Callithrix jacchus: one gene and its partner. The protein of the gene in region 2 binds, or shares a complex with, the protein of the main gene of each other region. Links are inferred from orthologs where the notes say so. Each region holds a gene or a part of one and is shown on either strand. Other genes may lie near its edges.

Region 1 (6,093 bases), on a different chromosome or scaffold from region 2:
CTCCCCCCCCCCCCACTAGGCGCAACCCACTCCTACCAGCCCTTTGGCTCCACACCCTTTCCAGTAACAATGGCAGCTTAGTCAAACAGAACTGAGGTTTGGTAGAGCACCAAGTTTCATTGTTTTTGTCAGGCCAGATTTTGGATGTGAAAGAGGTTATCAGACTAAGAGAAAACAAAGAATAGTGACTGAATTCAGAGTAGCTGGAGTTACTTATGCTAAAAGTTGTTCACCTACCACTTTAGCATTTTGGTGATACATACAAAAATCCTTAGCTGCTATGTATTCCCTTCACATTTATCAACATCTATAATGTCCTCTCTTTCAGTGGCATACCATGTCAGATTTGCTTCAAATAAGGAAATTTGATCGTAATATTTTCACTGTGATGTCTTTAATGGAGAGGCTAGGTGGTGTTTTTGATAGCTCAACTCAAGGCTAATCAGGTCTGTAGTGTTGTTAGCCTTCATCCTAACCTGGAAAAAAGAAAAGCAGTGATCACTAGGTACCACTGGCAGACCTAAAAAGGAAAGAATATGGTAGGAGAAGCTGTGCAGTCTAAGGAAATTGCACATTGTATTTACTTCATATTCTATTTAAGTGGTGAGTTGCTTTATTCCTGGTCCATTACTTATTTCACCTTCTTGCTAGAACACTATAGGGGTGACACTTGATGATAAAGTTCTGGAAAGCAGATAGAGGTTTTCAGGAACTTGGACATTCCAGAATAAAAATCTGAGCAAGAGAGATGAAGAGACTTGGATACAGAGGAGAAAGCTTTTATTAGGAATGTCAAAGTAGTGGAGTGGGAATAACAAAGACCAGAAGCAGCTTCACTTGATTGTAATTAATTTGCAGGGGTTGTTAAAGGTAGGCACCAAGCCAGCATCACCACTTTATAAATAATAAATCTGTGGGGGTGATGTTGTGAAAGAGGCATGCTAAGGTTGCATCAGCAAGGTGAATCACTGAGTGGGTGGGACTGTCTAGAAAAGCATCTGTGTTTGGAAAGGGATCATTCTACAGTTTAGTCCAGAACACCTTGAGCATACAGCATAGCAGAATCTTGGCTGTAATACTTGAAGCAAATATCACTAGCAAAAACGGTATGTTTGCTGGGATGTTCATAACAAATACTCCTGGTTAAGTATTTGCTGGTCCTTTAGCATATAGAATCTCAGTATTAGAGGAAAATAGCAAGCTGAAAGCACACCATATTTCCATTCTTCAGTAGCCAATTTCACCTATTGCATTACTTTGTTACAAATTGCAGCTGTGTAGCCAGTAACTGATCCATAGGATGCTTTGTGTTAGGCACAAAGTAGAATCCAGCTGTTAGCTGTTTGTTGAAAGAAGTAAGAATCTTAGGAAATGTTTGCCTGCCACTTCCTCCTTTTCGTAACTACCTGCCTCACCCTCTCAACTGGTGGTCATGTTTTTTTTGTCACCCACCATTCAGGAGAAATGCTATCAATGAACCACGCTGGCTACACACACATACCTTTTCCTCAGATGATATTAATCATCTTTGCCTTAAAAACCAAAGCTCTACCAAGTTTTCACTATGAGAGAAAAATAAATTAGAACACCCGCCAGCCTTGTAGTTAACATAGCTGATTAATGAAAGTTGACAAGATGCTTATACAAACTATCCCAAGGTCACAGGAAATTAATGGCAATATTATGCAAGGGTGGTTCACTTTCTATAGGAATTTGGATTTTACTGCTTAAACTACAATGGAAATGTCTCAGGCAATCTGCTTTGGGAGTTTATACTTGAATAACACTGATTTCTCATTCAAGGGGAAAACACTGTATCCAACAACTCCAACATGGCAGAAGTGAAGCCAGTGTTCCGGGAAGTTCTTCCAAAACAAGGTAGTACATCACAAATATTGAGATCATTATTACAGAGACTAACCAAGTGATAGGCAGTGTCACATAGCAGGCTTAATAGCTAAACATCTGCAGCTGTTGTGTTCCATATTGTCTCATTTACTGTTTACTCTTAGTATATGCTTTTCTCATCAGTATATTATAAAGGAGGGATCCTCACTTTTTTCTTTCCAGTAAAAGGATAACAAATGAAGCATTGTTACTTATACCTAAAATTGCTAACTACAATATGAATTTTTTTTTAAGAGAACATGTTTTCACTCGGTCACCTAGGCTTGGATACAGTCGGCATAATCATAGCTCACTGCAGCCTTGAACTGCTGGGCTCATGTCCTGGCCTACCGATTTGCTAGTACAACAGACATGTGCTACTGTGCCTGGCTAGTTTTGTTTTTGTAGAGACTGGATCTCACTGTGTTGCCAAGGCTGTCTCGAACCCCTAGGCTCAAACAATCCAACCCCTTTGAGATCCCAAAGTGCTGGGATTACAGGTATGAGCTACCATGCCCGGCTCAATATGAAATTCAATGAAGGATATAATGGAATTTACTATAATGTTAATAAGGTCTGAAAGTGGAGAAAGAGAAACCTTAAGTGACAGAAAAGCTGAAGGTTTAAACAGGCATTTGAATATGTATGTTAAATACCATACTTTGCTATAGTTTTTGCACTACATATATATATCCTGCCCAATCTTATTTTAAAATAAAACTTCTGACACAAAGTTTTGTCTTATGATAACATAAATTCTTGGGTAGAAAGTTCAAAACTTATTTTCCTCAGAAACACCCCAGTAGTAAGAAATGCTGCCTATAGGGTGACTATGATCTTTCTGGTCCCACAGCAAAACTCAGTTTAGGTACAAGAGTTTTTCAGTGACAACGTATTAATTTTTTAGACCTTCATTCTAGCTGCAAATCCAACTACCAAACCACTGGGTTACTTTTCTTAATTCTTATTTCTTATTAAACTTAGGGCCATTGTTTGTGGAAGATATAACCACAATGGTGCTGTGTAAACCCAAACTTTTACCTTTAAAATCTCTGACTCTGGAAAAACTAGAGAAAATGCATCAAGCAGCACAGGATACAATTCGCCAACAAGAAATGGCAGAAAAGAATCAACGGCAAATAACCCACTGAACGGTAACTGAAGCACTTTAGGGAACAACCTGTCTTACCTACTGTTTAACAGTAACTAGAAAATCATATGCTTCTGTGTGCTGAAAGTAGTATTTGTTAATATTATCAATAAAATTGATAGTATTCATATAAATACAAATATACCTAAGATTGATGAAATTTGTATTGTGAGTGTAAACACTCTGGTTTGTATTGAACATAGTTACTATGAACCAAATTTTATGGGGTTTTTTACTCATGTTTTTAGAACTGTGTATTATTTGTTCACCATTCCTGTTGCTATCTCTTATAGATAACATTCTTGGGCACAAGGGACTAATAGATCTTTACACATTTATTAAAATCTGAATTGGAAGATATATTCCAGTGTTGCATAAAGTGTTTGTTGGGCTTTTACATTATTGAATTAAACAAATCAATTAAAAAAATTTTTTTAACCAATTTTAGGTGCCATGTCACATTTAATACTGTCATGTGTGACCAGATCCTACCAGTAATGATAAAACTGTATTAAATCTCATTTTGAAGAAACCCTCCCCTACTCTGTAATCAGCTAAGCTTTTAATTACATTAATGTTAAGGACTTGAGAATTACATAATGGTGTTTATCATCCAGGTGTCAATTAAAAACCTAAAAATGTTAACTGTATTATAAGCCTAGGTAATATGAGGTAAATATGAACATTAAACTTGGTTTTAATTCTAACAGACTGTATCTAAACTTGCAATCGGTATACTCCTAATAGTACCCACATAAATTCTGAATATAATTGTCGGTTTGCTGCATTCAATATTTGGCAGTTTAGCATACACCTTGAGGGCTTGCTGAGTTATTAGGCTATGTAAAAGTGGTTGAGGCCGGGCGCGGTGGCTCAAGCCTGTAATGCCAGCACTTTGGGAGGCCGAGGCGGGTGGATCACAAGGTCAAGAGATCGAAACCATCCAGGTCAACATGGTGAAACCCCGTCTCTACTAAATATATAAGAAAAATTAGCTGGGCCTGGTGGCGTGTGCCTGTAATCCCAGCTACTTGGGAGGCTGAGGCAGGAGAATTGCCTGACCCCAGGAGGCGGAGGTTGCGGCGAGCCGAGATCACGCCATTGCACTCCAGCCTGGGTAACAAGCGAAACTCTGTCTCAACAAAAAAGTGGTTTCAAAGTATGATCATTCTTTTGTTATTAATCGGTAGGTCATATTTTCTCAGACATTGGGTAAATGTCAAGCTTTCAGTCTTTGGAGAATAACTTTTTTTAACACTAGCCATTATTTGGTAACAGAATTTAGGAATGGAATGATGGAAGGTATTACATATTTCTAAAACTTATTTAAGCTCTAGATCAGGTAAGAGTGGAAGAAAGTGATACTGCATTTCTTTCCTGAGCGTATTCTTAATTTACTATTGTACTTTTGATTTAAAAGTTTGTAGGAAAAAAAAGTTTTCAAGGAACACTAAGATTAAATTCACTAAGTTCAAATATGCTTCCTTATGAGATTTAAAATTTGCTGTGTGAAATTAAAGTTTAAAAGATCTAAAATAAATGTACTCCCAATAAAGAATCAACACTGCTTCACATCTTTTATTTTGGTGTACATTCTTCTAGAACCAGGTTCATTTTTCCAGTTTTGTAGAAAAATAGATGTTCCAGCCACCATTTACTTCACTGTGTAGTCTTTTAAGACCAATCAGTATGTTCCCTAGAAAGATGAATAAGTCTCACGACTAATTTTTTTTTAATTCTTTAAGACAAATAACTTTCTTTTTTTTTTTAACTTCCAAAGCACAGTATTTCAACAGCAGCAGCCAACATGGGGTTTTAGCAGCTTAACTTTACCCCCTAAATAAAGCTTTGTATAAACCAGTGATTTTACTACAAAAAACACTGTCCTTGAAAGAAAGGAGTGGCAGTCAGACATCAATGCAAAACTTGGAATGATTAGGTCATAAACATGGCACTTAACAAAAGGTAGCTTATTAGAATATTCCACTTAAGGAGAGGTTTCTTTTCTGTCCCTCCTTTGCCCCTCAAAAAAAAAAAAAAGAAAGAAAAAACATTACCTTTAAAAATTCCCCTTAAATGTAGGTTTATAAAATGTCAGAAATGCCTTGTACCCAAAACAAGTGCCAAAAAAAAAAAAACTTGTGCTAACAACTCTTACAATTCAGATATATATTTTTATAATATCTAAGACTGCAAGAGTTCTTATATTCAGTAGCTCTCTGGTTTAAGACGACCTCCATCTCCTTCGCTTACAAAACGCTTTCTGCCCCTGTAATGAAGAAAAAAAAAACCCATGAAAACAGATACAATTTCTAACTATAGTCAATAAAAAAATTTAAAACTTGGTATTTTTTGGTTACATATTAGCTTTTAAAGGGTTTTCCTTTAAAAAAAAAAATCAGCATACCTCTAATTCCTTTGGAAAGGATTCCCTACTCTATAAAAGCATAAAAACATCAATGTCAAATCTGAGTTTGTTTTTTTTAGCACTATCCAAATAATCACATTTAAAAAGTTGATGTCAAACTAAAGCAAACATTTTATTTTATTTAGAAGTTTAATATTTATTTCTACATTATTATTATCTGTAAACTTAACAGTGAGCCAAATAGGAAACACTAACATAATTCAGAATTATGCAAACTGGAGCTGTGGAATCTATCAAAATATCCATGTTTGACAATTTAAAAAAATCTTGTATCAGCTATAGAAAAACGGTAACTTGAATGTGGGAAAAACAAATCAGAATTATAGCCTATGCTCCATTTAGAAGCCCTGCTCTATAATATATAAGCCCACACTCCAGCTACATGTAGTAGCAACAGCCCAGAAGGAACAGCTGGACAGTGGCCTAAAACAGTAAGTGGGAAATAGAACTTGGGCAACATTAGCCCTTACTCTCTGACTGCAGGCCAGTATGCACAAGCATGCAAAACCACACACAAATATGCACCTCACCCAAATAGGCTAAAAGATAAAGGACAAAAGTCAAAGCAGTATGGTATGTATAAACAGAAAGTTTAGTTATCTCCTCATGTGACCCTTGAGAATAAAGC
Region 2 (5,764 bases):
TACAGTCACATGTCATCATTCATGCCTGGCTAATTTTTGTATTTTTTGTGGAGACAGGGTCTCCTTATGTTGCCAAGACTGGTCTCTAACTCCAGGGCTCAAGTGATCCACCAGCCTCCCAAAGTGCTGGGATTACAGGCATGAGACACCACGCCCAGCCAAGATAAGAATTATAATTGCACTAAGGTAAAATAGAATTACTTCCAATTTAAAAGCAGAAAATTAATTCCTTTAACAAAGACTATCAAATAGAGAGTGTAGTTCATGTACTTTGACCTTTAGTAAGATAAATATCAAAATGCAAGAAAACCACCAGACACACAAACCCAAAAGCATTTCTAACATCAATGCATGAATGAGTCAAGAATTTTCATTACCTGTAAATAGAGTAATCCTAAAGTTGTAAGAAGTTCTGTATTTTCTGGTGAGAACCTGCAACATAGAGATGCTCAGAGGGAAACAAGATGTGGATGAGAATCACGGAGACACAAGCATGGTAATGTATCCTTGTGTAATACTTGACAGGCCCCACTGAACCTCTTGCTCCCCGTGGAAATCCCTGAAGACACTTTGGGAACTGCCATCAAAAGTAGATCATCTCAACCCTGGCAATAGGGAGAACTGCTCAGCAAGAAATGGGGCTTAGAATTCAGACTCCTTTCTTAGAGTAAAAGTCCTAAGAAAGAATATTTTGCATGACTGTCTTGGTCACACTAATAAAATTAAAGAACAATGCTTTATAAACCAAGTCAGTCTAGAACTTATACATAGTTTCACCAGTCCTCTCTTGTGGGATTTTTTTTCTATTCTCATTGTGTTCACAATGCCAGGCAGCATAATTTTCTATGTAATTTTGGATCCCAAGGCTCCTATAATGCTCTTCTCTCCACTTAAACAAAAAGCTATACTAAGTAGCCAAACAAAAAAGAAGGAAGATACATACCAATCCTAGGAAAGAAGGTGCTCCTGACCTTTGGAAGTAAATGCTGATCTAAGCAAAATATGATCTGCCTGCTCAATCCCTCACTAATATGTCTTTGTCACAAAACCAAAGCAACACTGAGTTGGGATGATCTAATTATAGGATCATCAGACAACTCCAACAGTAAAACACCAAAGGGCTATGAACAATGTCTCATGCTTCTAAGGAACAATACAGGACACTGGTTACCTCTAGGGAGACCTGAACCAGAAGATGCAGAGCCCCAGCCAGGGAAGGCCCGAGCTGACCAAACAGCTTTCTCAATTCAACTGGGAATCTGCCTTTCACTTTTTGCCATAATAAACATCCATTTTGATCACTTCCCTCCCCAAAGACAGGTAACTTCTATAATTCTAGCGTATCAGTCCCCCACTACAACATGACCATTCAAAGCTGTATGTCATGAACAATGGCCTCTATCTTCTCAGTAAGGCTTCAAATTTTAGCTGTCCACATTTCTCTCTTGGGAAATTTAGTGACTGAAGTCCTTGATTGGTTACTGGAAGAATGTCCCCTTGGGATTTATGTATCCTAATCTCAAAGAGCCAACCTCTAGAAGGCAGGGGTCAGGGGTCAGGGCTACTACCTAGCATCACAGAGGCACTTAACATGTTACATGCTCCTTACTACTTGCCCATATATACAGCTTCTTGATGACAAAAGTTGCTTCCGTAGCTTAACAAACCAAGTGATTTTTCTGTCTTTTTAGACACAAAATGTGGTTGAAGAAAATTCAGAAAGCAGTGTTGTCATTGACATAACCAGAAAATTTACTACCATGGTAGAAGACAAAGATAATAAATTAATAGCAATCTAAGTTTAGTTCAGAATCTAATTATTAGGAATAATAAACCTTGAACCATGGACCAGACATTCTGTTAAGTGACCAAACAAATGAGACAAAGCATTTTGCTACAGCTGTCCCATTTAAAAGAAACAACACAAGGCCAGGCGCAGTGGCTCAAGCCTGCAATCCCAGCACGGTGGGAGGCCAAGGGAGGCAGATCACTTGAGTCCAGGAGTTCAAGACCAATCTGGCCAACATGGTAAAACACCGTCTCTGCTAAAATACAAGTATAAGCCAGGTGTGGCAGCGCACTCCTCTAGTCCCAGCTACTCAGGAGGCTGAGGCATAAGAATCACTTGAACCTGGGAGGCAGAGGCTGCAGTGAGCCAAGATCACACCACTGCACTCAGGCCTGGGTGACAGAGTGAGATTCTGATGAAAGAAAGGAACGAAAGGAGGGAGGGAGGAAATGAAGGAAAGAAAAGAAAGAGAGGGAGGGAGGGAGAGAGGGAAGAAAGAGAGGCAGGGAGGAAGGAAGGAGAAAGGAAAGAAAGAACAAGACAAGACCCTAAACAGAAAAGAAAGCATGTGTTTCTAGAGAGAAAATATGAAACACCATCATGGGAAAGCCAATCAGTTCCATTATCAAGGGAAGTCTGTATTACCCTAGTGATGTTTAAAAAAAAAAGATACTGGTCTCATGCTAATAAAGGCCAAACATTTCTTATGTTTTTTTACTGAATCAGATTTCTGTCCCTAATAATATCTCTGAAAACAGAAGATCTGTTGCTAACATATGATACCAAAATGCCAGACTGTCAGCCAACTCCTAAATCTGTTATTTCCTTCTTCCTGAGTGTGCATCTGCCTACTTCTCTTGCAACTCTCACGTAGTTTTGAACCATGGAATGTAAGCAGGAGCGATGTGTGCAATTTCTGGGTCATTTGAAATTTATTACCAAGCCCAGGTGCAGTGGCTCACACCTGTAATCCCAGCACTTTGGAAAGGTGAGGCAAGAGGATTGCTTGAGCTCAGAAGTTTAAGACCAGTCTGGACAACATAGCGAGGCCTTGTCAACACAAAAACGTTTTTGAAAATTAGCTGGATAGGCCGGGCATGGTGGTGGCTCGCTCCTTTAATCCCAGCACTTTGGGAGGCCGAGGCAGGCAGATCATAAGGTCAAGAGATCGAGACTATCCTGGCCAACATGGTAAAACCCCGTCTCTACTAAAAATACAAAAATTAGCTGGACATGGTGGTGCACACTAAAAATACAAAATTAGCTGGACACGGTGGTACGCACCTATGATCCCAGCTACTTGGGAGGCTAAGGCAGGAGAATCACTTGAACTCGGGAGGTGAAGGTTGCAGTGAGTCAAAATCATGCCACTGCACTCCAGCCTGGCAACAGAGCAAGACTCCATCTCAAAAAAAAAAAAAAAAAAAAAATTAGCTGGGCATGTGGCACATGCCTGTAGTCCCAACTACTTGGGAGGCTAAAGTGAGAAGATCGCTGGAGCCCAGGAGGTTGAGGCTGCAGTGAGCTGCCTGAGTGACAGAGTAAGAGCCTGTCTCAAAAAGAAATATAAAATTATTGCCAGATGCTTATTCCATACTTAGCTTCCCATACCATCTCCTACCACAGCCTGGATGTGGATGTTACATTCAGCATCAAACATTGCAGATAAAGACAAAAACCTAAGGAATGGTGAGTTAATAAGGAAGAACCCTGGATCCCTGGCTCACCTTGTAGAATAGAGCTGCCCAGCTAACCTAAAGCAGCAGCCATCCTGAGAGGTGAGAAAGAAACACAGTCTACCTTACTGAAGCCATCAGGAGCTCTTAACTTAAACCTCAGCTTCACCTTTAACTCATACAATAAGTAATTAATCAAACATAGTAGTTTCTCATTGTTCTAAAGGAAACAGTTACACTTACTCCACTGCTTTCTTGTAGATTTCAATGGCCTTGTCCAAGTCTCCCTCCAGCAGGTGGATCTTCCCCAGCATTATATAAGTCAGATCATGCCTATTAAGATTCAGGGCATTGTGTAACTGGTCTTGTGCCTGACAAGTTTGACAAAGCAAAGAAAACCAAATCACTACCACTGAAAGAACTATAACTTGATATGGCTAATGTAAAGACAGTTGCTGCTGTATTGACATAGGAACATCACATTTCAGCAAAGAGCCCCCACTACCCAAAGACCAAAACATACCAAAACTGTCCTTGTTGAAAAGACAGCTGGCAACATGGGATATCTGCTTCTGAAGCTACTTGGAAGAATTTATGCAAGATGATTAATCTTTCTGAATGTTTACTGCTTGATATTCATACCTACGACTCATACTTCATAAGTCAAAAGAAACATCATAGTACATGTAGAGTACTACACTAAACTAAATCCCAGCTGTAACAGTGACCAAATGCACAAATTTCTCTACGGTGGGCCCCCATTCCCCCACCAATGTGATGATAAATGAATAAATAGATTGTTCTCATTTATTCACCCAACAAGTATTCATTGAATACTTGCTGTTCTGGGTGCTAAATATATTTGAATTAATAAAATCAACTCCTTGCTCTGGAGGAGTTTACCTTCTAGTAAACAAAAAGGTGTTCTGTCATTCAATGATACAACAAGTATTTATATAAATGTAAGTATTGTATTTGCCTAGCCTGTTAGCTATACAGTAAAATCTATTTCTTCTCAGTACAGGTCCAACCAAAGACTAATCCTTCTTTTCCCCTGACTCAGAATAATGCTGTGAATAGAAATATGAATGTCTGAAATTGTCTGTGAAGAGAAAAATCTCCTAATCAAGTATATAAAACTGTAGATCCATCTACAAAACCTAAGGGACCCACCAAATGTATTTTATGTACATATATTGTTTATTATCTCAGGAGAAAAGTTACTTTTACAACCCAATTGCTAATGTGCATTTTTTTTTACACCAGTGTGGGATAGATTATGTTATCCCAGTCTGCAAATTGATACAAACTAAACATTGTCAGATGGGTACTAATTCAGATTCTCAGTCCTGGTGGCACTGGAGAAAGGAGAATAAAACTTCACAATCACTAAGTGTGAGCTCTATGAAGGAAACTACCCAACGCTCCCATCACTAAGTTTTAGAGCTCTCAGACATTCTGTCTATTCCTCAATTACGATATATACTTTTCCTTACCTGAGTACCGAGGTAAGCTCTAATTGTTTTCTCTGATATAGGAGCCTATAGCTTAATCACAATGAAATATAAATTCTCATCATGGAAAATAACTAAAAACTTTTAAAACTCAGAAATCAGATCCACTTAAAATTTATTTTCAATGACCCTAAAAACTAAAATCAGTTGCTGTAAGGATATTAGATCACTCACATGCTCATGATTACACCTTTAAGACTTAGGGTCCACTTTTTGATATTTATGTTTTATTAAGCATTTGTTTCTATACTAGGAAATTAAACTGGAGGTAGAGAAAAAGAAGAAAGAGAAAAACTGCCATTCTCTCCTATTTCTAGAACTTTCCATGTTCTTATTATAAAAGCAGAAAACAACAGATGAATAATGACAAGTGAAAATTAAAACAGAAATAAATGTATAAAGATAATTTTAATTTTCAGTTCCAAAAACCTCTGCAAGCACCAAGGATAATACAAAATGAGCAATGTAACTGTAACAGCAAGTGCACCCTCAGTGAAATCCATCACCACTTCTATAAATTACCTTGTTGAACTGCTTCAGATAAATGTAGCAAACTCCTAGGTTATGGCTGATCTCCTAGGCACATAAAAAAAAGGGGGGAAAACAACTTAGGTGTAATTCCACAGTAAGTATTAGAGTGAAACAACAGACATCTAGAGATTGTTATTGCTCGGCAAGGTTTAAACTTTAAACCATGCATTACAGTCAGCTTTTTATTAGAGTTCATACACAAATATATTTGTCAAAAATTAGTTCCTCAATTTAAAAAATATGGATTATAAGAA

Evidence for each region. The genes of interacting proteins can lie anywhere in the genome.
Region 1: the proteins of BBS4 (region 2) and BBIP1 are in contact, whole or in part, in a cryo-EM structure (PDB 6VBV), measured with the Bos taurus proteins. The link is inferred for Callithrix jacchus from reciprocal best matches to the Homo sapiens genes BBS4 and BBIP1. Residues at the interface, in NP_001069424.1 of Bos taurus: Leu210, Leu213, Tyr236, Leu240, Ala241, Ser244, Gln247, Thr248, Ser269, Pro271, Asn274, Asn275, Met278, Phe281, Gly282, Lys284, Tyr298, Leu299, Pro301, Leu302, Asp303, Trp304, Lys305, Ile306, Tyr308, Asn309, Leu312, Leu315, Thr316, Gln318; in XP_003587939.1 of Bos taurus: Met7, Phe8, Arg9, Glu10, Val11, Leu12, Pro13, Lys14, Gln15, Gly16, Gln17, Leu18, Tyr19, Val20, Glu21, Asp22, Leu28, Lys30, Pro31.

The regions. Positions count from the first base shown.
Region 1 is NC_133513.1:103,841,983-103,848,075, reverse strand, and holds the end of BBIP1 (BBSome-interacting protein 1), read left to right. Parts: intron 1-1,803; coding exon 1,804-1,878; intron 1,879-2,871; coding exon 2,872-3,038; 3' UTR 3,039-4,592; downstream 4,593-6,093. Other genes in the region: PDCD4 (programmed cell death protein 4), read right to left, coding at 5,246-5,306.
Region 2 is NC_133509.1:19,622,468-19,628,231, reverse strand, and holds part of BBS4 (BBSome complex member BBS4), read right to left. Parts: intron 5,556-5,764; coding exon 5,502-5,555; intron 3,837-5,501; coding exon 3,709-3,836; intron 433-3,708; coding exon 378-432; intron 1-377.